Linked DNA regions of Oryctolagus cuniculus. The protein of the gene in region 1 interacts with the protein of each later gene in a pairwise test. Links are inferred from orthologs where the notes say so. Each region holds a gene or a part of one and is shown on either strand. Other genes may lie near its edges.

What was found. The genes of interacting proteins can lie anywhere in the genome.
Region 2: the proteins of HOMEZ (region 1) and PRKAA2 interact in binary tests that used the Homo sapiens proteins (3 or more experiments, as listed by UniProt). The two-hybrid records come from large-scale screens. The link is inferred for Oryctolagus cuniculus from reciprocal best matches to the Homo sapiens genes HOMEZ and PRKAA2.
Region 3: the proteins of HOMEZ (region 1) and MAD2L1BP interact in binary tests that used the Homo sapiens proteins (3 or more experiments, as listed by UniProt). The two-hybrid records come from large-scale screens. The link is inferred for Oryctolagus cuniculus from reciprocal best matches to the Homo sapiens genes HOMEZ and MAD2L1BP.
Region 4: the proteins of HOMEZ (region 1) and SNRPB2 interact in binary tests that used the Homo sapiens proteins (3 or more experiments, as listed by UniProt). The two-hybrid records come from large-scale screens. The link is inferred for Oryctolagus cuniculus from reciprocal best matches to the Homo sapiens genes HOMEZ and SNRPB2.

Annotation. Positions count from the first base shown.
Region 1 is NC_091443.1:51,743,707-51,748,978, forward strand, and holds the start of HOMEZ (homeobox and leucine zipper protein Homez), read left to right. Parts: upstream 1-1,966; 5' UTR 1,967-2,001; coding exon 2,002-2,116; intron 2,117-5,272. UniProt on the Homo sapiens protein: May function as a transcriptional regulator.
Region 2 is NC_091438.1:116,548,087-116,553,117, reverse strand, and holds the start of PRKAA2 (5'-AMP-activated protein kinase catalytic subunit alpha-2), read left to right. Parts: upstream 1-2,039; 5' UTR 2,040-2,690; coding exon 2,691-2,784; intron 2,785-5,031. UniProt on the Homo sapiens protein: Catalytic subunit of AMP-activated protein kinase (AMPK), an energy sensor protein kinase that plays a key role in regulating cellular energy metabolism.
Region 3 is NC_091436.1:126,439,695-126,444,387, reverse strand, and holds the start of MAD2L1BP (MAD2L1-binding protein), read left to right. Parts: upstream 1-1,701; 5' UTR 1,702-1,797; coding exon 1,798-1,843; intron 1,844-2,201; coding exon 2,202-2,467; intron 2,468-3,863; coding exon 3,864-4,376; 3' UTR 4,377-4,693. UniProt on the Homo sapiens protein: May function to silence the spindle checkpoint and allow mitosis to proceed through anaphase by binding MAD2L1 after it has become dissociated from the MAD2L1-CDC20 complex.
Region 4 is NC_091442.1:41,759,970-41,764,691, reverse strand, and holds the start of SNRPB2 (U2 small nuclear ribonucleoprotein B''), read right to left. Parts: upstream 2,993-4,722; 5' UTR 2,842-2,992; exon of another isoform or gene 2,769-2,841; intron 1,153-2,768; 5' UTR 1,128-1,152; coding exon 1,064-1,127; intron 320-1,063; coding exon 147-319; intron 1-146. UniProt on the Homo sapiens protein: Involved in pre-mRNA splicing as component of the spliceosome. Associated with sn-RNP U2, where it contributes to the binding of stem loop IV of U2 snRNA.

The DNA.
Region 1 (5,272 bases):
TTCTCACCAGGTGCTTCCAGAGCCTCCCCAGCTCCTTCACAGGGCAGCGCTGTGCCCTGGGCCCCAGACCACTGCTACTATTGTGTGTCACTTGAGCTTCCTCATGCAGCTGCCCTCCCTTCTGGATATTCAACCTTATATTTGAAATAAAGTTGAAATATGAAAACAAAGTACATCATAAAACACTCAGAAGTATTCTTTGTTTGGGGCTGAGGGTGGCAAGAAGTCTAGATGCAAGATTCCCTTCCTAAACCCTCACTCCTCTTTCTCTCTCTCTCTTTCTTTCTTTTTCTCTTTCTTTCTCTCTTTCTCTCTCTCTCTCTCTTTCTCTCTCTCTCTCTTTCTCTCTTTCTTTCCTTCTTTCTTTCTTTCTCTCTTTCCTTTCCTTCTTTCCTTCTCTCTCTTCTCTCTCTTTCTCTTTCTCTCTCTCTCTCTCTTTCTTTCCTTCTTTCTTTCTCTCTTTCTCTTTCCTTCTTTCCTTCTCTCTCTCTCTTTCTCTCTTTCTCTCTCTTTCTCTCTTTCTCTCTCTTTCTTTCCTTCTTTCTTTCTCTCTTTCTCTTTCTTTCCTTCTCTCTCTCTTTCCTTCTCTCTCTCTTTCTTTCTCTTTCTCTTTCTTTCTCTCTCTCTCTTTCCTTCTTTCCTTCTTTCTTTCCTTCCTTCCTTCCTTCCTTCCTTCCTTCCTTCCTTCCTTCCTTCCTTCTCCTTCCTTCCTTCCTTCCTTCCTTCCTTCCTTCCTTCCTTCCTTCCTTCCTTGAGAGACAGCTCCTGTCCATTGGTTCACTCCTCAAATCTCCACAATAGCCAAGGTTGGCCCAGGCTGAAGCCAGGAACTGAGAACCTAATCCAGGTCTCCCACATGGAGGGTGAGGACCTAGCTACTTGAGCCATCCACTGCTGTTTCCCACAGTGCTCATTAGCTGGAATCTGGAGCAAAGCCAGGACCTGAACCTAGCACTCCAGTATGGGATGTGGTCGTCCCAAGCAGCGTCGACCACTAAGACAAATGCTAGCCTGGTCATTTCCTAAAAGTCCTGCTCCGGGGCTGCTGGCATATCGCAGCAGGTTAATCTACTGCCTGTGATGCCATCATCCCCTATGAGCACCAGTCTGAGTCCCGCCTACTCCACTTCTAATCCAGGTCCCTGCTAATACACCTGGGAAAGCAGCCAAAGATGGCCCAAATGTTTGGGTCTGTGCCACCCCCATGGAAGACTTGGATGGAGTTCCAGATTCCTGTCTAGTCTGGGCCAGCCCAGGCCATTGAAGCCATTTGGAGAGTGAACCAGCAGATGGAAGATCTCTCTCTCTTTTTTTTCTCTTCTCTGTGTAACTCTGCTTTTCAAATAAATAAATCTTAAAAAGTCCTATTCCTTTTCTGCTGGAGTCCTCTGGCTGTTTGGAAGTTGCATGGAAGAAGACCACGGGAGAGATGGGCAGCCATGGTTTAAGACACCACAACAGGATCCCTCCACCCTTTTGGGTAGTGGGAGCATAGTCAGGGCCTGGCTCTTCAGTTCCCTGGCACCCAGCACCAGCTGTTGGTGTTGTTAAAGGAACAGTCTGGGAAAACTGTTTCTGCTTTTCACAGGGGATTCTTCCTCTTTTAGGGGGTCATCTCGTTACTTTCTGCTCTTGAGTAGTGGAGGGAAGAACAATGCCCTTCCCTAATAAGGGGTTACCCTAAAACAAAGGGTAAGACAGCTAACGGAGGGGAAAGGAAGGCAAGACCTCTGTGGAATCCAGAATGGAGGGATAGAAATAGATAACAGAGGGAGTCCTTGAAAGAGCAAGTTCTCACAGGATTGGCTCCCACATCACCTGAGTGATGAGAGAATCCAATTACCACAAAGTAATGAGGTGACAGCATTCCTAGGAGGCAAGCCCCAAGCACGGAATGCCTGATAGCTCCTCCTTACATCACAAAGGCCGACCTGTGACGTCATCGCTGCCCAGCCCACCGCTCTTCAGTGTGCTCTAAGAGTGCTGAAGGGCAGGGTCAGCATGAGGAGCAAACACCCACGGAGAGGTAAGGCGGGGCTTTCCAGGGCTTCTCTCCACGGCTTCCTGCCTGGAGTCGGAGCCCCAAGCCCTGCACAGACTCCTCACGTCTTCTGGGGTAGGTTTGAGCTCCTCCTGCCACAAACTCCTTCCGCGTTAACTTTCGCTCTCCCAACTCTGTCTCCAAGCCTCAGTACTCGCAGGTCTGAGTAGTCGGCCGCCTCACTGCCTGCGGCTCTGGTCTTTCTAGGAGACAGGGCACGAGCACTGGAGCAGAGTTCCCCTAAGGAGGCAGAGACTCACCATGGCCATCTGGTAGTCCTAGGCTGGAGCCAGGCTTCTGGGTACCTGAAGTATGCAACTTTTGGAGCCCCTTTAAGAAAATTAAATACAAAATTATGATATTTTCAGAATGACAAATTACAATTTTTTAAAAAGCTGCCAAATATCTGCCTAAAATTATTCATATTTCCACTTTTTTTGCCAACAGCCTTTGATAGCCTTTTCGTATAATGATTGTATGTTTTCTATGAGTCTTCTAACATGATCACTTTTGTATTGTTAATTTTAAAAAATTTTGCCCCCATGCCTTGTGATACTTTCATAAATGTTTAGAATTTTTGTCAAACTTGGTAAAACCACTATAAAATTTTGGAGCTTTTCGAATTTGTAATGGCTAATGTCATATATTCTGAATTGATAGTATCAAGAATAATGGGAACTAGCCGGCGCCGCAGCTCACTAGGCTAATCCTCCGCCTGTGGCACCGGCACACTGGGTTCTAGTCCTGGTCAGGGCGCCGGATTCTGTCCCGGTTGCCCCTCTTCCAGGCCAGCTCTCTGCTGTGGCCAGGGAGTGCAATGGAGGATGGCCCAAGTGCTTGGGCCCTGCACCCCATGGGAGACCAGGAGAAGCACCTGGCTCCTGGCTTTGGATCAGCGTGGTGCGCCGGCCGCAGCGGCCACTGGAGGGTGAACCAACGGCAAAAGGAAGACCTTTCTCTCTGTCTCTCTCTCACTGTCCACTCTGCCTGTCAAAAAAAAAAAAAAAAAAAAAAAGAATAATGGGAACTATAAATATTAGTTTGGGGGCAGGCACATTTGTAGCACAGTGCTTAGGATGCTGCTTGGGGCACCTGCAACTTGTATGGGAGTGCTTGGTTCAAGTCCTGACTCTGCTTCCAATACAACTTCTCACTGATGCACACTCTGGGTAGCAGCAGTGGTGGTTCAGGTGCTTGGATCCTTGCCACCCACATGGGAAACCTGGATTGAGTTCTGTGCTCCTGGTCTCAGCTTGATCTCTGCCTTTCAAATAAAAAATGGAAATAAACATACAGGCAGGCATTTGGCTCAGAAGTTAAGTCAGCAGCCGAGACACTCCCGTCTTGCATCAGAGTGCTTGTTTGGAGTCCCAGCTCCTCTAGGCTCCTCCATCCCTGATCCAGCTTCCTGCTAATGCACACACTAGGAGGCAGCGGGTGATGGCTCAAGTCCTTGGTTGCCTGCCAGCCTAGATTGAGTTCTGGGCTCCCGGCTTTGGCCTAGCCCAGTGCTGGCTATTGAGGCATTTCAGGAGTGTTCCAGCAGAGGGAAGATCTCTCTTTCTGACTTTCAAATAAAATGGCAGTAAATACACATTTTTAAAACATATAAGTAATTTAATTTTTCAGGGCTGCCATACAAAAATAGCAGAGACTGGGTGTGTGCTAAATTTGTTTTCTCAGTCCTGGAGACTAGAGGTCCAAGACAAGGGCACTGGCTGAGCTGACTGCATCCTGAGGCTTCTGTCCTTGATTGTAGAAGGCTGTCTGCTCATGGTCTTCCCTCTGCCTGTGCATCACAAGTCTGTGCCCAGATTTCCTCGTGGAAGGTCAGCAGTCACACTGTGTTAGGACCCACCCTAATTCATCCATCTCAGCTGAACTTAATCACCTCGAGAAACAACCTAACTCCACACGAAGCTACGTTCTGAGGTACTGGGGGACAGGACATTAACCCTAAGTTTGGGAGGACACAGTTTAATCCATAACACTGTATCCACCTGGGGATAATTGATTCTATTCACAGAAGTAACTGCAAAACCCATCAAGTATACCTACTAACCCCACAGTACACGTGATCCCTCCTCAGCTCCCTCAGCCAGTCTCCAAGTGCCCATCACCTCTCTGTGGACACCTGAGAAAGGGACATGTGACAGAGGTCAAGTCAAGAAGGAGATACCAGTCAATTCCAGTTTGGGGTGTTTTTTTTTTCCCCAAGTTTTAGAAAAACCTGTGACGATGTTGGCGTGTTGCTGCAGCTCCTCCAGTGGTGAAGGTCTGTGACAGGGAGGACGCTGCACCTGCAGGGCCTCCAGCTGTAGGGCGAGCGTGCCTCTGGTCAGCCCTGCTAATGTCTGAGCCGTGCAAAGGGCAGATGACAGGCATCACATTCTCCAGTGTTAGTCCCTGGAAGGGCTGGCAGGGGACTGTCCTGCAAAACATGGGACTCTCACCATCAGCCGAGGCTTCTCCCCCTCACCCCGGCCCACCCCAGTCCACTCCACATTCACCAGTGGTGAGGGACCTTTTTTTTCTGCCAAGAGCCATTTGGAGATATATATATACACACACACATATACATGTATACATATATACATATATATATATATAAACATCATTTGTGGGCCATGCAAAAGTACCAACTTAAAAATTAGCCTGCGGGCCGGCGCCGCAGCTTACTAGGCTAATCCTCCGCCTTGCAGCGCTGGCACACCAGGTTCTAGTCCCGGTCGGGGTGCCGGATTCTGTCCCAGTTGCCCCTCTTCCAAGCCAGCTCTCTGCTATGGCCCGGGAGTGCAGTGGAGGATGGCCCAAGTACTTGGGTCCTGCACCCCATGGGAGACCAGGATAAGTACCTGGCTCCTGCCATCGGATCAGCGCAGTGCGCGGGCCGCAGCGTAACAGCCGCAGCGGCCATTGGAGGGTGAACCAACGGTAAAGGAAGACCTTTCTCTCTGTCTCTCTTTCTCACTGTCCACTCTGCCTGTCAAAAAAAAAAAAAAAATTAGCCTGCTATCAGTTTGAATTTCCAGTCTCTACTGCGATTGCCTTGGTGGGGCCTGACCAAATGATGTTGAGGACCGTACATGGCCTGTGGGCCAGACATTCTCCACCCGTCTAGACCTACATAGAGTTCAACTCACATAGAGGGTTCAGCCTGTACTTTAGAACTAAGGCAGGGGAGTTTCTTCTATCATCCTTGGAGTACCCCCCCCCCATAAACTTGAATGC
Region 2 (5,031 bases), on another chromosome or scaffold:
ACAAGTTAGAACTAGATGTGAGTTTGTCTCTGCTTCTCTGCTGCTTAGCTTTTAGCCTTGGGCAAATCAGAAAGGAAAAACTAGTTTTATCATCTATAAAATGGGGATAATAAGTTTCTTTTATGAGAAGTAAATAATTGTGTTTAAAACAACTTCTTAGCCAACAAAATATCATATATGTTTGGTATAAAGTTACAAGGTTGTTCATAGTAGCAGTGTAAAAATCGTAGTTATGCAGTACATAACAATTCAACTGGTAATTATTAATGGTTAGTTAAGGCAGTGTAAAGTACTTTAAGAATCTCAATGTATGGTCTCTTTGTACCAAGTTTCAAGAAACTAACTTCAGTAAAGAGTTTTCAACATGTTTGAAATGGATGTTAGAATGAAAGACAGAAACAGCTCAAAAGCTGAACAGGAATTTTGTTCTCTTGCTCACCTGAATGAACACTGAAGGACGGAAGGAGTGACCCTGAACCAAATGAAAGTTCAGCATTAAAAATGACTGGTTGTGCTCTCAAAATTGCCAGCTAGGTAGTGTGATTCTTAAATGATACTTCTTGTCAGCAAGAAAGATGATCCGAAGAATGAACGAAAATAGCCTCTGTGTAACAGGTGCGATATCTGTAATTTATAAGTGGTGTTCATCTCTCATCAGATTGTCTTGGTGTCTAGCCAAGAATGAATAGATGCCATTTGTATATTTACTACTTTTCAGAAAGCAAAAAAAAAAAAAAATTTCACAACCTAGTCTTTCTGATCAATATATTCTTTACATGTAAGCAGTATAACAGACTTCAAGCTTGAGGAATGTGACCTTGAAACTCCACTAGCAAGCACAGTGCTAAAAGCATCTCACTAATTTTTAACAATTCATCTTCAAATAGCAAATAATCTTAAAATTAATCTTTAAAAATTTTACATCATTGAAAAATGAAAATTTTACACACATCAGATGCAACATGTTGTTTTGAAATGTATATAATAGTGGAATGGCTACATCAAGCCAGTAACACATGCATTAGTCATAATAGCTGTTTTTGTGGTGAGAAACAAATAATTATAGTAATAATTTTGAAAGATAGGACAACATTGAAGAATAGGATACTATTAAACAAAGGAAGGAAAGAGGGGAAGGAATGAAGAGATGGAAGAGATCAGCACTTCACCTAGTTCTTTCTCTCTCTCTTTTTTTCTTTCTTTTTAATATTCCCTCCCCAGGCAGGGGTGGTGGTGGTGGTGGGGGAGGAATCATGATTCTCATTTCCTCTTACCATTTTTTTCTACTTATCATACTTTAAATTGTGTCTTTATACTGTCCTTGCTTTTCACAATTCCTTTGTCCTTCATGTACAAGGGTACTTTAAATGTTCGTGGAACAATGAAATTAAAAGGCAAGCTTATTTTGGTGCCAAAGACTTTGAAATCCATGCACAGTTTTTCATCATACACATTTTCATGAACTTGATGAAGACCGCTCATTCACGTGTTTTTCAAAGTAAACATTTCAATTAAATTTATCTTCCATGGGGTTAAAAATTAATTTGAAAGAGAGAGGGAGAGGGAAAAGGAGAGGGAGAGGGAGAGAGAGAGAGAGGGAGAGGGAGGGAGGGAGGGAGAGAGAGAGAGAGAGAGATCTCATCTGCTGATTCACTCTCCAAATTTCCACAAAGGCCAGAGCTGGGCCAGGGCCAGGAGGGGAGCTGGGAATTCAGTCCAGGTCTCCCACGTGAGTGGCAGGGTCCCAAGGGTCTGAGTTATCCTGCGGCCTCCCTGGGTCTGCATCAGCAAGAAGCTGGAGTCAGGAGCGGTGGCCGGCTATGGGGCGCCGTGTCCCTCCAAGAACTTTTTGGAACACCTTTGTAATTTACTTCCTGTGCACTCACCATTCCTTCCTGGGCAGCTCTGTCACATATCATTTCCCTACTGTGTATGTATATAGGCAGGCGATCAAACACCCGAGCTAACACGGCGACGGGGATTTACTGGAAGCTGCACATCGGTTACAGCTGAGATCTCTCTTCCATCTAAGGACAAAGCAAGTGAGAATGATGAAGTAGGCAGAGGAGGACAAGTGAGGAGAGCACCGCTGTGAGTGCTCCAATAGCTGGATCAGAAACAGCCGAGACCCCGGCAACTTCCCCGGGGCGCTCCCCCGACTGCCCTTTGCACCGGCCCCTGGCCTCCGCCTCCCAGCCCACATCGCGGTTTGGGGCTTTGGGCCTGTTTCTCTTCAAATTCGACTTCCACCTCTTTCCATTCCCTCAGATCGGATCCAGGTCTCACCCCCACAGTCCCATTCTCTCGGCTCTCCCTCAGAGAGCGCCCCCAGCCACCCTCGCCCTCGGGTCGCCGCCGCCGCCCGCCCTCTCAGCACCTGCCGCCCGCCGACCCTCGCTGCCATCCGCGCACCTGGCTGGGCCCCGCCCTCTCTCCCAGCCTGCGCCCCGCGCCCTCAGCGCGGCCGCCGCCGCCTCCGGCTCCGCCACAGGCGTCGGTCACGCCGGGCCGCGGCTCCCCGCTCCGGACTCGGTCGCGCCCTCTCCCGGGACCCCGGCCGCCGGCGCCCGCGCCCCTCGTCGCCTGCGGCCCGCCCCCCGCGGGTCCCGCTGCACTGTGGGTAGGCGGCGGCGGCGGCGGCGGCGTCCGCGCTGAGGGGCCGCGGCGGAGCGAGGCCGCGCGAGCCGAAGATGGCTGAGAAGCAGAAGCATGACGGGCGGGTGAAGATCGGTCACTACGTTCTGGGGGACACGCTGGGCGTCGGCACCTTCGGCAAAGTGAAGAGTTGAGTACGCGCCGAGGCCGCAGCCGCTCGGGGCTGCGGGGCTGGCGGGTGGCTGGGCCGGGCCGAGCAGCGAACCGGCGCAGGGCCCCGCGGCAGGTGGCGCGGCTCCGGGCAGCTGAGAACGTGGACCCCGCGCGGGCGGCGGGCAGCGCCTCGCCCAGCAGCGGCGCCCCGGCCTGGCAGGCGGGGCTGGGGGCGAGCGCTAGAGAGTGGGCTGGGGGACAGGGGTCCTGGGCTCCAGGTCCAACGCCTGTCATCTGGGCGGTGGTCGGGGCCAGGTGCTTCCCTGCTGGCGTCCCCTTCTGCACAGCTGGGAGGTTGTAGCATACCCGTCAGGTGCCCTCCAGCTCGGACACCGTGTGGGGAGAGCTGGGCAGTACTGCAGGCTACCCGTAGATGATGATTGAGTTGCCGTTTGGTGCCCGGCGCCCTATCAGGGGCGTTACGTGTGATTTCTTTAAATCCGTACTTGGTCCAGCTGTGACCCTCACCTTGCAGGGGAAGCAAACTGGAACCCCTAAGGGTTGAGTAGCATGCCCAAGGTCACACTGAAATTGGCAGCGCGGGATGAAGTCTAAGATGTCCTCCGGTTCTAGCCTTGCTCAGAGGTCCCTGCTACCCCCAGATTCTGTGATGTTGTAGCACTCTGGGTTGGCAGGGCCTCCTGTTAAGCGGACGCCCAGTGGGCCGGCGAGGGTGGGCCTGGGAAACGCTGGAATGCCGCTGGGTGGGCTCCGATAATTAGACCTAGGAGGGCTCGAGGTTGATTGGTTTGAGTGCAGGGGCTCCAGGAAGCCTCTGGGATGATGGAGAGAGATAAAGGTATTGGTGTTGGAGAAGGGCTGAGGTCGGAACTGCTAAGAAATTTTTGCTGAGGTCTGTTTTCTTGGAGATGCAATTACACTTAGGGTGTAGAAAAATAGCCTGCTTTTGAAAGTTTATACTTCTTATTAGTTAAGTAATTAGTAAGAAGAACTAGTTAGGCATTGAACTTTGCTGGGGGTGGGGGGATGGACACACACACACACACACACACACACACACCTTCTTCCATCCACTGGTTCATTTCCCAAATTCAGGAGCTAGAATCTTCATCCAGGTTTCCCACCTGGGTGGAAGGGACCCAAGTACTTGAGCCATAACCTGCTGCCTTCCCAGCTCATTAGCAGGAGGCTGAGTCAGAAGTGGAGGAACTGGGACTCCAATCCCAGGCACTCCAGTATGGGATTTACAGGTCCCAAGTGGTGGATTAAGCAGCTGAGCCCTCTTCCTTTTCCATTTTGTTCATAAGAGTTATATGAGATTTAGTAATCATGTCCTCTCTCCATAATTGGAGCCAGTTTATTTATTTATGTATTTATTTATTTTTAACTTTTATTTAATTAATATAAATTTCCAAAGTACAGCTTATGGATTACAGTGGCTTCCCCCCCTCCATAACTTCCCTCCCACCCACAACCCTCCCCTTTCCCACTCCCTCTCCCCTTCCATTCACATCAAGATTCATTTTCAATTCTCTTTATATACAGATCAGTTTAGCATATATTAAGTAAAGATTTCAACAGTTTGCACCCACATAGAAACACAAAGTGAAAAATACTGTTTAAGTACTAGCTATAGCATTAAATCACAATGTGCAGCACATTAAGGACAGAGATCCTACATGAGGAGTAAGTGCACAGTGACTCCTGTTGTTGACTTAACAAATTGACACTCTTGTTTATGGCCTCAGTAATCACCCTAGGCTCTTGTCATGAGTTGCCAAGGCTATGGAAGCCTTTTGAGTTCACCAACTCTGATCATATTTAGACAAGGTCGTAGTCAGAGTGGAAGTTCTCTCCTCCCTTCAGAGAAAGGTACCAATTGGAGCCAGTTTATTAAAAGTACTTTGTTGCAAATCCAGAAGTGTAAGGACAATGTTGTTTTTTGTTTTGTTTTCTTTTTGCTGAAGACATCTGGGTAGGCTGGAAATTCTACTCTGCTGTCTCTGTTTCATTGTAGACTTCATGTTTTAACCTCAAGTAAATGTAGAAGAGACTCATTGTTCGTTCTTGTGGCAAGATCAGTGGGAATTTTCTTCCACATATCTGATACCCATTCATTTGTTGAGAAAACACTGAGAACCTGCAGTGTGGTAGGCACTGTGGTAGGCCATGGTGACTCAGGTAGGAACAAAATCAAATCTTTTATGAGGCTTACATTTTTAATAGGGGAAGACAATACTCAGAATCTACACAAGGGTTCAA
Region 3 (4,693 bases), on another chromosome or scaffold:
AGGAGCAACCGGGACAGAATCCGGCGCCCCGACTGGGACTAGAACCCAGTGTGCCTAGTGAGCCACGGTGCCAGCCCAATTCTATCTTTCAAATAAATAAATATATTTTTTAAAAAGTGGGGGAGGGGCCGGCAGAGAGAGAATCCTTCCATCCACTGGTTAACTCTCCAAATGGCAGCAGTGGACCAATCCGAAGCCAGGAGCTGGGAGCCAGAAGCTTCTTCAGGGTTTCCCATGTGGGTGCAAGGGCCCAAGGACTTGGGCCATCTTCTACCGCTTCCCCAGGCCATAGTCGAGAGCTGGATCAGAAGTGGAGCAGCCAGGACTCAAACATACCCCTATGGGCTGCTGGCTTAACCCACCTTGCCCAACTTACTCTGCAGCCTCCCAGAGTGATCCTATCCACTCCCATACTAATGGCTGTCTGTCCCAAATGGTGTTTCTAAATGTCTCTATTCACTGTCCTGTGGTGACACTGAACCCAGCCCATCAAAAGCAGGTTTCATCTTTTCTTCTCACCTCCTAGTAGATCTGGTCCTCGTTTATTGCTCCATCTTTCATCGAATGGAGCGCCTAGTAATTCAGTTGCTGGAGTCACAACCCTGCTGGTTTTTCTTTTTTATAGACTGACTGATTGATTGGTTTATCAGAGTTACAGACAGAGAGGGAGAGGCAGAAGAGATCTTCCAAGTACTGGTTCATTCCCCAAACTGCTGCAACAGCCTGGACTAGGCCAGGCCGAAGCCAGGAGCCTCTTCCAGGTCTCCCACGTGGGTGCAGGGGCCCAAGCACTTGGGCCATCTTGGGCCATGCACATTAGCAGGGAGCTGGATCAGAAGCGGAGCATCCAGGATTTGAACCGGTGCCCATATATGATACGGCACTGCAGACAGTGGCTTAACCCACCGCACTATAACGCCAGCCTGGACAGTCTGTTTCCTCGGATCAACTACTAATTTATGCTCATTGGGCCCCTTTGTATCTCCAGGACTCACCCAGTTCTCTCCCTCCCCTGCCACTACCCTGGTTCCGTTCTGTCTCAGCACTACCTCGAACTAGAACCCCTGTCCCTGTCTTTTATCCTCCCTGTAATCCAACTTCTACAGTGCAGCCAGCAGGGAGATTAAACGGGAAAGATGTGAACATAATCATGTCACTTCCCCTACTTATAAACAGCTTCCCTACCTCCCTACGGGGGATCGAGTTCAAAGCCTATCAAAGCTTAGAAGATCCTGTCATGATCCTGTCTCCTCCACGCCCCAGCGCTTTAGGAATTCTTCATTCCTTGAACAGGGGATGATGTTCTTGTCTCTTGGGGTCTCCTCTTTACCTTGCTAACTGACAAGGTCACAACATCTTCACACATTTCTTCTGGAACCACGTACCCCTGCCCCAACCCGCTCTGGGTTAGGCGCCCCAGTTCTTCCCTCCCCCAGCCCTTGTATACCCCACTGTATCAACGCATCCCATTGCACTGTACGCATAGGCAGTGCCCCCCTCGACGGCAGGGCCCGCGCCGGGCTTGTCCCCGGCGGAGCCTCCAGCACCGAGGACAGGGCCCGGCGTGAAGAAAGTAATGAACCCAAGAATGAATGGCTGCTAGAGGGCGGGTGGCCGCGAGCGCCTGGGCTCGCGGTAGCCGGAGGGCTAAGGGTGCCAGCGCGGGCTCCACCCCCGACCCCGCCCCAGGGCGGTGGCGCCGCGCCCCCTTCCGGCCGAGCCGGAAGTGGAGAGGGCTTCCCATGACGCTCCGCGGGCCGATCATTCTAACGCACGGAGCTGAGGGAGGAGGTCGCGATGGCGGCCCCGGAGCCGGAAATCCCGTCGCCGGCCGCAGGCACTGGTAAGGCATGGGGGCCCGGGCTTGCGGCTCCTCGGGGCCCTGTTTCTTCCCTACTGCCGTCCTGTCCTATCACCGCGCCTCTGGTCCTTCTGGTTCCGAGCTCCGGGTTCGTCCGCTCTCCGATGAGACTGCGCCTCGCCCTCTTTTCCCTGGGTCAGGAGCCCGATTTCTGAGTAGAGCCTCAGTCACTGACCGGGAATCTCTCTCGTATCGGCCACTTAGTCATGTACGGCCGCGGGGGTCAGGAATCCCGCACGTACGCACTAGGGTATCTGCGGCGTCGGGGTGTGCGTGGTGGCCGCAGGGAATGCGAAGCCCGACCCTGGCTTGTGTCTCATTTCCCTCTCTTGTGTCCTAGATCTGGAGTGGTTTGACCAGTCGGAAGAAATTCACGGCTCCCCGGTGGAACTGCCGGAGACTGCCTCTGCCCCCGAGGCTCCCGGCTCTGCGGAGCACTGCTGCCCGAGAGACTGCATGGTGCCGGTGGTGTTTCCCGGGCCGGTGAGCCGGGAAGGCTGCTGCCGCTTTACTTGTGAACTGCTCAAGCACATCATGTACCAGCGCCAGCAGCTGCCTCTGCCCTACGAACAGCTGAAGCACTTCTACCGAAAACCTTCTCCCCAGGTAGGCACGGGCTACGGGGGGGAGACGTCGCGGCTCTTGCCTGGCGAGCAGGTGGAACGGGGATCCGAGCCATCTGCAGGGACAGTCGGCGGCGCTGGCTCCGCGCTCGCGTCTTCAGCGGGGTGACCCTCTCTGGTTTTTTCCCTCTTGCTGTCTTCTCCCGAAACCCCTATTAAGTGTTGCTTTTGGACTCGAAGAGTTGAGCCTTTACATTTTAGTTTCTTTTCTCCAAATTTTCATGTTTGGTTTTTCCTTGATGGGGGAGTTCTTTGACTTTATATTCCAACACCAATACAACTTATTCTTTTTTTTTGGCAATCATTGTTAAGAGTTCTTAACTTTCGCATATGCTCTTTGCTCTTTTTCCCCCCAAAATGAGTTTATTTTGCTCTCATATATATATACATATATATATACATATATATATATACACATACATACATACATATATACCCCAGCAAAAATTGACTGCTTTGTGGCATGCCACCAAATTTCCTTGGCTATCTTAGCTTCTTATATCTGGCCGCTCTCTTGGCTGTTGGAAGGGTGGGAGAACTATGGCACAAAGAGTAGATTTCACTTTTTGCTGTGATGTTGATAAAGCCCAGTGATGTGGCGATGACATTCATTGAGCTAGACGTTCAGTCTTTTTAAGATTTATTTATTTACTTGAGAAACAGAGTTAAGAGAGAGAGGGAGAGAGAGAGAAAGGTCTTTCATCTGTTTCACTTCCCAAATGGCTGCAAGAGCTGGAGCTAGGCTGATCGGAGCCAGGAGCCAGGAGCTTCTTCTGGGGCTCCCATGTGGGTGCTGGGGGCCCAAGCTCTTGAGCCATTTTCTATTGCTTTCCCAGGCCATCAGCAGGGAGCCAAATCAGAAGTGGAGCTCCTGGGACCAGAACTGGTACCCATATGAGATGCCAGCTCCGGAGGCAGATGCTTAACCTAGTATGCCACAGTGCCGCCGCCCCCGCCCCCCACTTTTTTTTTTTTTTAAGATTTATTTATTTATTTGAAAGTCAGCATTACACAGAGAGAAAAGGAGAGGCAGAGAGAGAGAGGGGTTTTCCATCTGATGGTTCACTCCCCAGTGGGCCGCAACAGCTGGAGCTGAGCTGATCCAAATCCAGGAGCCAGGAGCTTCTTCCAGGTCTCCCACTTGGGTGTAGGGGCCCAAGCACTTGGGCTATCCTCCACTGCTTTCCCAGGCCACAGCAGAGAGCTGGATCAGAAGAGGAGCAGCTGGGACTAGAACCGGCACCCATTTAGGATGCCGGTGCTTCAAGCCAGGGCATTAACCCACTGCACCACAGCGCCATCGCCCCTCACAGGGTTCTTTAAAAGGCATTAGCTTCCCCTACCTTGTCTCTCTGTCTCACCAAGCTTTGTTGTCACAGGCAGAAGACGTGGTGAGGAAGAAGCCGCGGACGGCTGCCGAGGCCAGCAGCAGGAAATGCCAACAAGCCCTGGCGGAACTGGAGAGTGTCTTCAGTCACCTGGAGGGCCTCTTTGCCCGAACCCTGGTACCACGAGTGCTGATCCTCCTTGGGGGCAGTGCCCTAAGCCCCAAGGAGTTCTACGAACTTGACCTGTCCCGGCTGGCTCCCTACAGTGTGGACCAGAGCCTGAATACAGCAGCCTGTTTGCGCCGGCTCTTCCGGGCCATTTTCCTGGCTGACGCCTTTAGCGAGCTGCAGGCCCCACCGCTCATGGGCACCATCGTCATGGCTCAGGGGCACCGTGACTGTGGAGAAGATTGGTTTCGACCCAAGCTCAACTACCGCGTGCCCAGCCGCGGCCACAAACTGACCGTGAGCCTGTCCTGCGGCAGGCCTTCCGACCCAACAGTGGCTTCGGACGATTACATCTGGTTCCAGGCCCCAGTGACGCTGAAAGGCTTCCACGAGTGACGGAGGACGCTTCCTCATCCTGGAAACGGATGGCCGAATGGCCCGGCTCCCTTCGGCACCGAGCCACCCGACTCTCGCTTGGAGCTGGCGTTGCTTCCCGGTGAGAGGGGAAGGCACTGTCCTGGCTGCCTCCCCTCCTCACACTTCCGGGGGGCTGACGGTGTGTGGCTAGGACCATGGTAATCATCCCTGAGCTACAGCTTGTTGAATCAAAGGTTGCTTTTCCCAGAGGGTGCTGGGTCAGGTGTTTCTGTTTGGGCTTGCAGAGCAAAGCCGGGTCCAGAGAGGGACACTCCTATGGAGGCGGCCCTTCTCTG
Region 4 (4,722 bases), on another chromosome or scaffold:
ATGAAAAATACATAAATAAAAGGAACTCGAACTCCCTATAACACACTTAATTAAAAGTGAAAGCAAAAACCACAGTTTCAAGCATATATTTACAAATCTACGAAACATTCATAGTGATTAAAGCAAAAGTAACAGTACTGGCTTACCATTGGTTTACCATAAAATGGAAATCCTTGTAACTGTCTCAAAGCATTTGTGGATGAGCCCAGTTCCTTAAAAATAACAAAGGCCTGCCCTCTCATCTTCATGGTCTTTAAAGCCACAATATCTACCACATGGCCAAACTGAGAAAATAGGGCATACAGGGATCTCTTCAATTCTGTCCAAATAAGAGGGGAAATAACTTGTGAACGAAGGAATGAGAAAATTCTTCATTAAATGACAGTACATTGAGTGCTCTGTCACCATTTATTTATACAGTTAGTAGTTATATATGTAAGTAAAAACACAAATTGCTATTCCCATTGGTTATCTAACGTAAAAAGTTATTTGAAACCATTATATGAGTAGCTATGAGTAAGAACAGATTCAGCATGTTGTCAGTCACTACCTATTTTTGTTTTTAAAAAGCCTGGAAATCCTTACACAAACTTTATAAATTTATTACTGGAGGCCGGCACCGCGGCTCACTAGGCTAATCCTCCGCCTTGGGGCGCCGGCACACCGGGTTCTAGTCCCAGTCAGGGAGCCAGATTCTGTCCCGGTTGCCCCTCTTCCAGGCCAGCCCTCTGCTGTGGCCAGGGAGTGCAGTAGAGGATGGCCCAGGTGCTTGGGCCCTGCACCCCATGGGAGACCAGGAAAAGCACCTGGCTCCTGGCTCCTGCCATTGGATCAGCGTGATGCGCCGGCCGCGGCGGCCATTGGAGGGTGAACCAACGGCAAAAGGAAGACCTTTCTCTCTGTCTCTCTCTCTCTCACTGTCCACTATGCCTGTCAAAAAAAAAAAAAAAAAAAAATTTATTACTGGAGGTAAGAAAAATGAGTTTGGGTGTAGTACAATTTTGTAAGATGGTAGTAAACAAACACATTTTAGTTATCAATAAGTATTTTTAAAAACACTTACCTTCTTTTTTAATTTTGTCATTCATATTATTAATATAAATTGTATGATTTGGTCTGATATCCATGTCTGAGTTAAAATGTTCAAATAGCCTAAAGAGAGGATAAAAAAAAAAAAAAAAAACTGTTACAAACAGGTGTGATTAAATCAATACAGCAGAAAGCTGTTGGCTTTTCCGTTTTCTTTCAATCGCTATGTCAGAATGTCAGTTGGGTCATAGACTCTCTCTCCAGCAATAGCTAGTCCTCCTCTGTATTTCTGTTTGAGAGGCAAACGCACACACAGCCAGAGGCAGACAATGAGCTCCAAAGCTCTGCTTCACGTCCCAAATGCCCAGCTGTGGCCCAGCTCGACTGAGGTCAAGTGAAGCTAGAGGCTCCTCAATCCAGGTGTCCCACGTGTGTGCAAGAACCCAATCACTTGAGCCACCACTGCTGTCTCTCAGGTCTGCATTAGCGGAAGCCGGAGTCAGGAGCGAGAGCCGGAACTCAAGCCCAGGCACTCTGACATGGGGCAGACATCTTAACTGCTACATCAGATGCAAACCGCAAGCCCTCATTTTTACAATTCTCAAGCTCAAAATTTAGTGAAACAACAGCAGCTTGCCAGAGTTTAATAAAATTGTATTCAATACATTTTTATACTTTCCTTTCACTTGTGCTACTTCCCATCTGCCTAATGAAGTAACTTGTATTTGTAAGCTGGTTTAAAAATTTTGACATAAAGAAAAATGAAAAAGAAACTACCAAGTGTACAATCCAGAACAAATCGTTAAGACAGAACATCAATGTAGTTTGTTCCTGGGTGCACTTACAAAGCACTTCCATATCTATCAATCACTGTGCATAAATTTCCACCTGCCATCTTCACTCCAGGATGACCTCTAACAGACTTGGCAAAGACCTTAATCTCTCAGGTCTTCATCTGTCAGACGGGGCTGAGGTGGGGGCGGGGCTGGCCAGAGCCCCCGAAGTTCTAGCACAGCTCTTGCATCAGAAGCCCCCAAAGGAGCTAATATCATGGCTGTTACAAGTCAGGGAGCACGCTTGAGGTCACACAGCTCTTGATCAGAAGGCCTGGGAATTCCGTCCTTGCAACCCACTGGACGATTTCCACACTTCACGTGGTTTTTAAGTTGCCAAGTGTGACCTTGCTTTACTTCCCTGGATGGCCCACAGATAATTAGGTACTAAACACTGCTTGCTGTGTTTACACACAGCGAGGGAGGAGCCTATAGACCGATGTACTTGTGCAGGTGGCAGATGAATAGAAACGTTTCTTAAAGACTCGACATTTCCCCAGTCGAAACCTGGAAGAGGAGCAGGGGGTCGCCAAGTTTTGACCATGAGAAGGGAGCGAGAGAGATTAAAGTGAAGGCGAGGAGAACAAGAGACCAAGAAGCTCGGTGCTGGGCTAATCAGAGCAGGGCACCTGGTGTCGCACCTCTCCCCTCCGCCAAAACAGAAACAACAGATCCGCAGGAAACCACCTGGAATCTCCCACGCCTCGCATTAACGGGCGTACTCTGTACGCGCCAGCTTCCTGCCTCTCCAGACACAGACTCTCTGCCCCGGGGCCACGCCGCGATCCAAGGACCGCGCCAGTCCCGCCAGAGACGCGCGCCGCTGCTAAGCTCCCCTGCATGGCCGCTCCCTCGTCTCAAACCGACCCCTCCACAAAACCAAGGCGAGACGCCACCCGACCACACCTCGCGCCTCGTACTGTTCGGGCTGAGCAGCGTGAAGAACCGCAAAACCGAGGAAAACGGGAATCCGACTCACCAGAGGACTACGCCGTTCCCACGAGCAACCGGAAGCCGGAAACGGTGCCGAAGGCGGAAGTGACAATGAAACTCCTCAATCGAGCGCCGACAAGTCGAGAAGCCCAGCGCCGAGTCGATCGATGCCTCCCGGTCTCCCGCGGCCCCAAGCTGGGGAACTCTCTGCGCATGCGCCTACGTGCTCTGCTGAAAGAGGGCCCGGGAAAACGGAAGAGGGTTGAGAGAACTGGATAGAACCCTGGGGCCATGCTGTGAGGTAATAAAAAAGAGTGGTTCATTTACCCCCACTAAGACTGAGGGAGGTTTTAACTCACATAGCAGTTCCCTCTACCTTTCTGAATCCTATGTGAGGTTTGCGGGCGCAGCCCCTCCTGCTGGTTTCACCCCTTCTATGGGTCAGCCTCACCTTTAGGACAGCCTATACTGCTGCCAGGGGTTCTGAGGTAGCTCCTCAACACTCTGCTGATGAGCTTAACTCTGAGAGGCAGAGCTGGAGTCGGAGGCCCTGGAGCAGAGACTGAGTGGGGTGTGCCTTTAACATCTACCTAAACTCACTCAAAACACCACAAAACACTTGAGTTCCCGACACCCTTCTCACTGCACTCCCCGCAGATGCTTAGATTTTTCTGGAGATAACTTAAGGTGTTAGTGAATGGAAATTCAAAACCGTGCATTTGGTCATTCGTTCATCCGTCATCTGAGACGTGCTAAGAGCCACCTGGAATAGGAAGGCTTTAGGAGTCAAAGCAAAGGGCCCCATGGCTTGGGACGTTGCGTGGGGCTCCAGCGTCCCGTATTTGTGTCCAGGCTGCTCTGCTCCTGATCCGGCTTCCTGCGGATGCATCCTGTCCTGGGAGGCAGCAGCTGAGGGCTCAGGTACTTGGGGCTCTGCAAGCCACCTGGGAGACCAGAATGGAGTTCCAGACTCCTAGCTTCAGCCTGGCCCAGCCCCCGGCCTTGTGGCCAGTTGGTGAGTGAATCAGTGGATGAAAGAGCTCTGTCTCTCTCTGCTTTGCAAATAAATAAGTCAAAAAAATTTTTTTAAAGAAGCCAAAGTAAATCTAACCTTGTGTCTTCCTCTTAACTAAATCTCTCTTTCTCTTTCCTTGCCTATGTAACAGGAATCTTAATAGTACCTTCTTATCACTCTGGGGACTAAATGGGTGCTCTGTAAAATGATTAGAACATTACACAAAGTCACTGGTTCCTAAATGTTACCTCTAGACTCTAACTATGACTTGGAGGTATGGATGAAGGTGGTAGGGGCCAAATAGTTTGATTTTATCACCTGAGGAGTTTTATTTTAAGAGTCAACATAAAGTTGCAACAACTTAAAAATAATGTAAGTACTTTGAAGGTGGGGATTTTTGTCTGTTTTGTTCATTTAAAAACCTTCAGTAATTAAAAGAGTCCCTTGTATTCAGTAAATATGCATTGCGTGAATAAATGAATGAAGCCTCATGGAAAGTAAGGCAACACTGAAACAAGTGTGATATCTTATTAAGATGCACAGTGGTGTAGGAAATAAGGTTACATGATCACTGGAAAGCATTCCCTTATGATATATATAGAAATTCTAGAAGAAACGTGTCCTGTCTCACTTTATTTGTGGGGGCAGGTATTGTGATGCAGCAGATTCAACCACTTCTTGGGAAACCCGGATGCCCTATCAGTGTGCTGGTTGGAGTCATGGCTGCTCCTCTTCCCATCCAGCTTCCTGCTGATGCACCCTGGAAGAAAGCAGATGATGGCTCCAATGCTTGGGCTTCCTCCTAGTGCAGCCCTGGAGACTGTAGCCATTTTGGAAGTAAATCAGTGGATGGAAGATCTGTCTATCTTTCAAATAGATAAATATTTTTTAAAATTTTGAGTGTACCTTAGC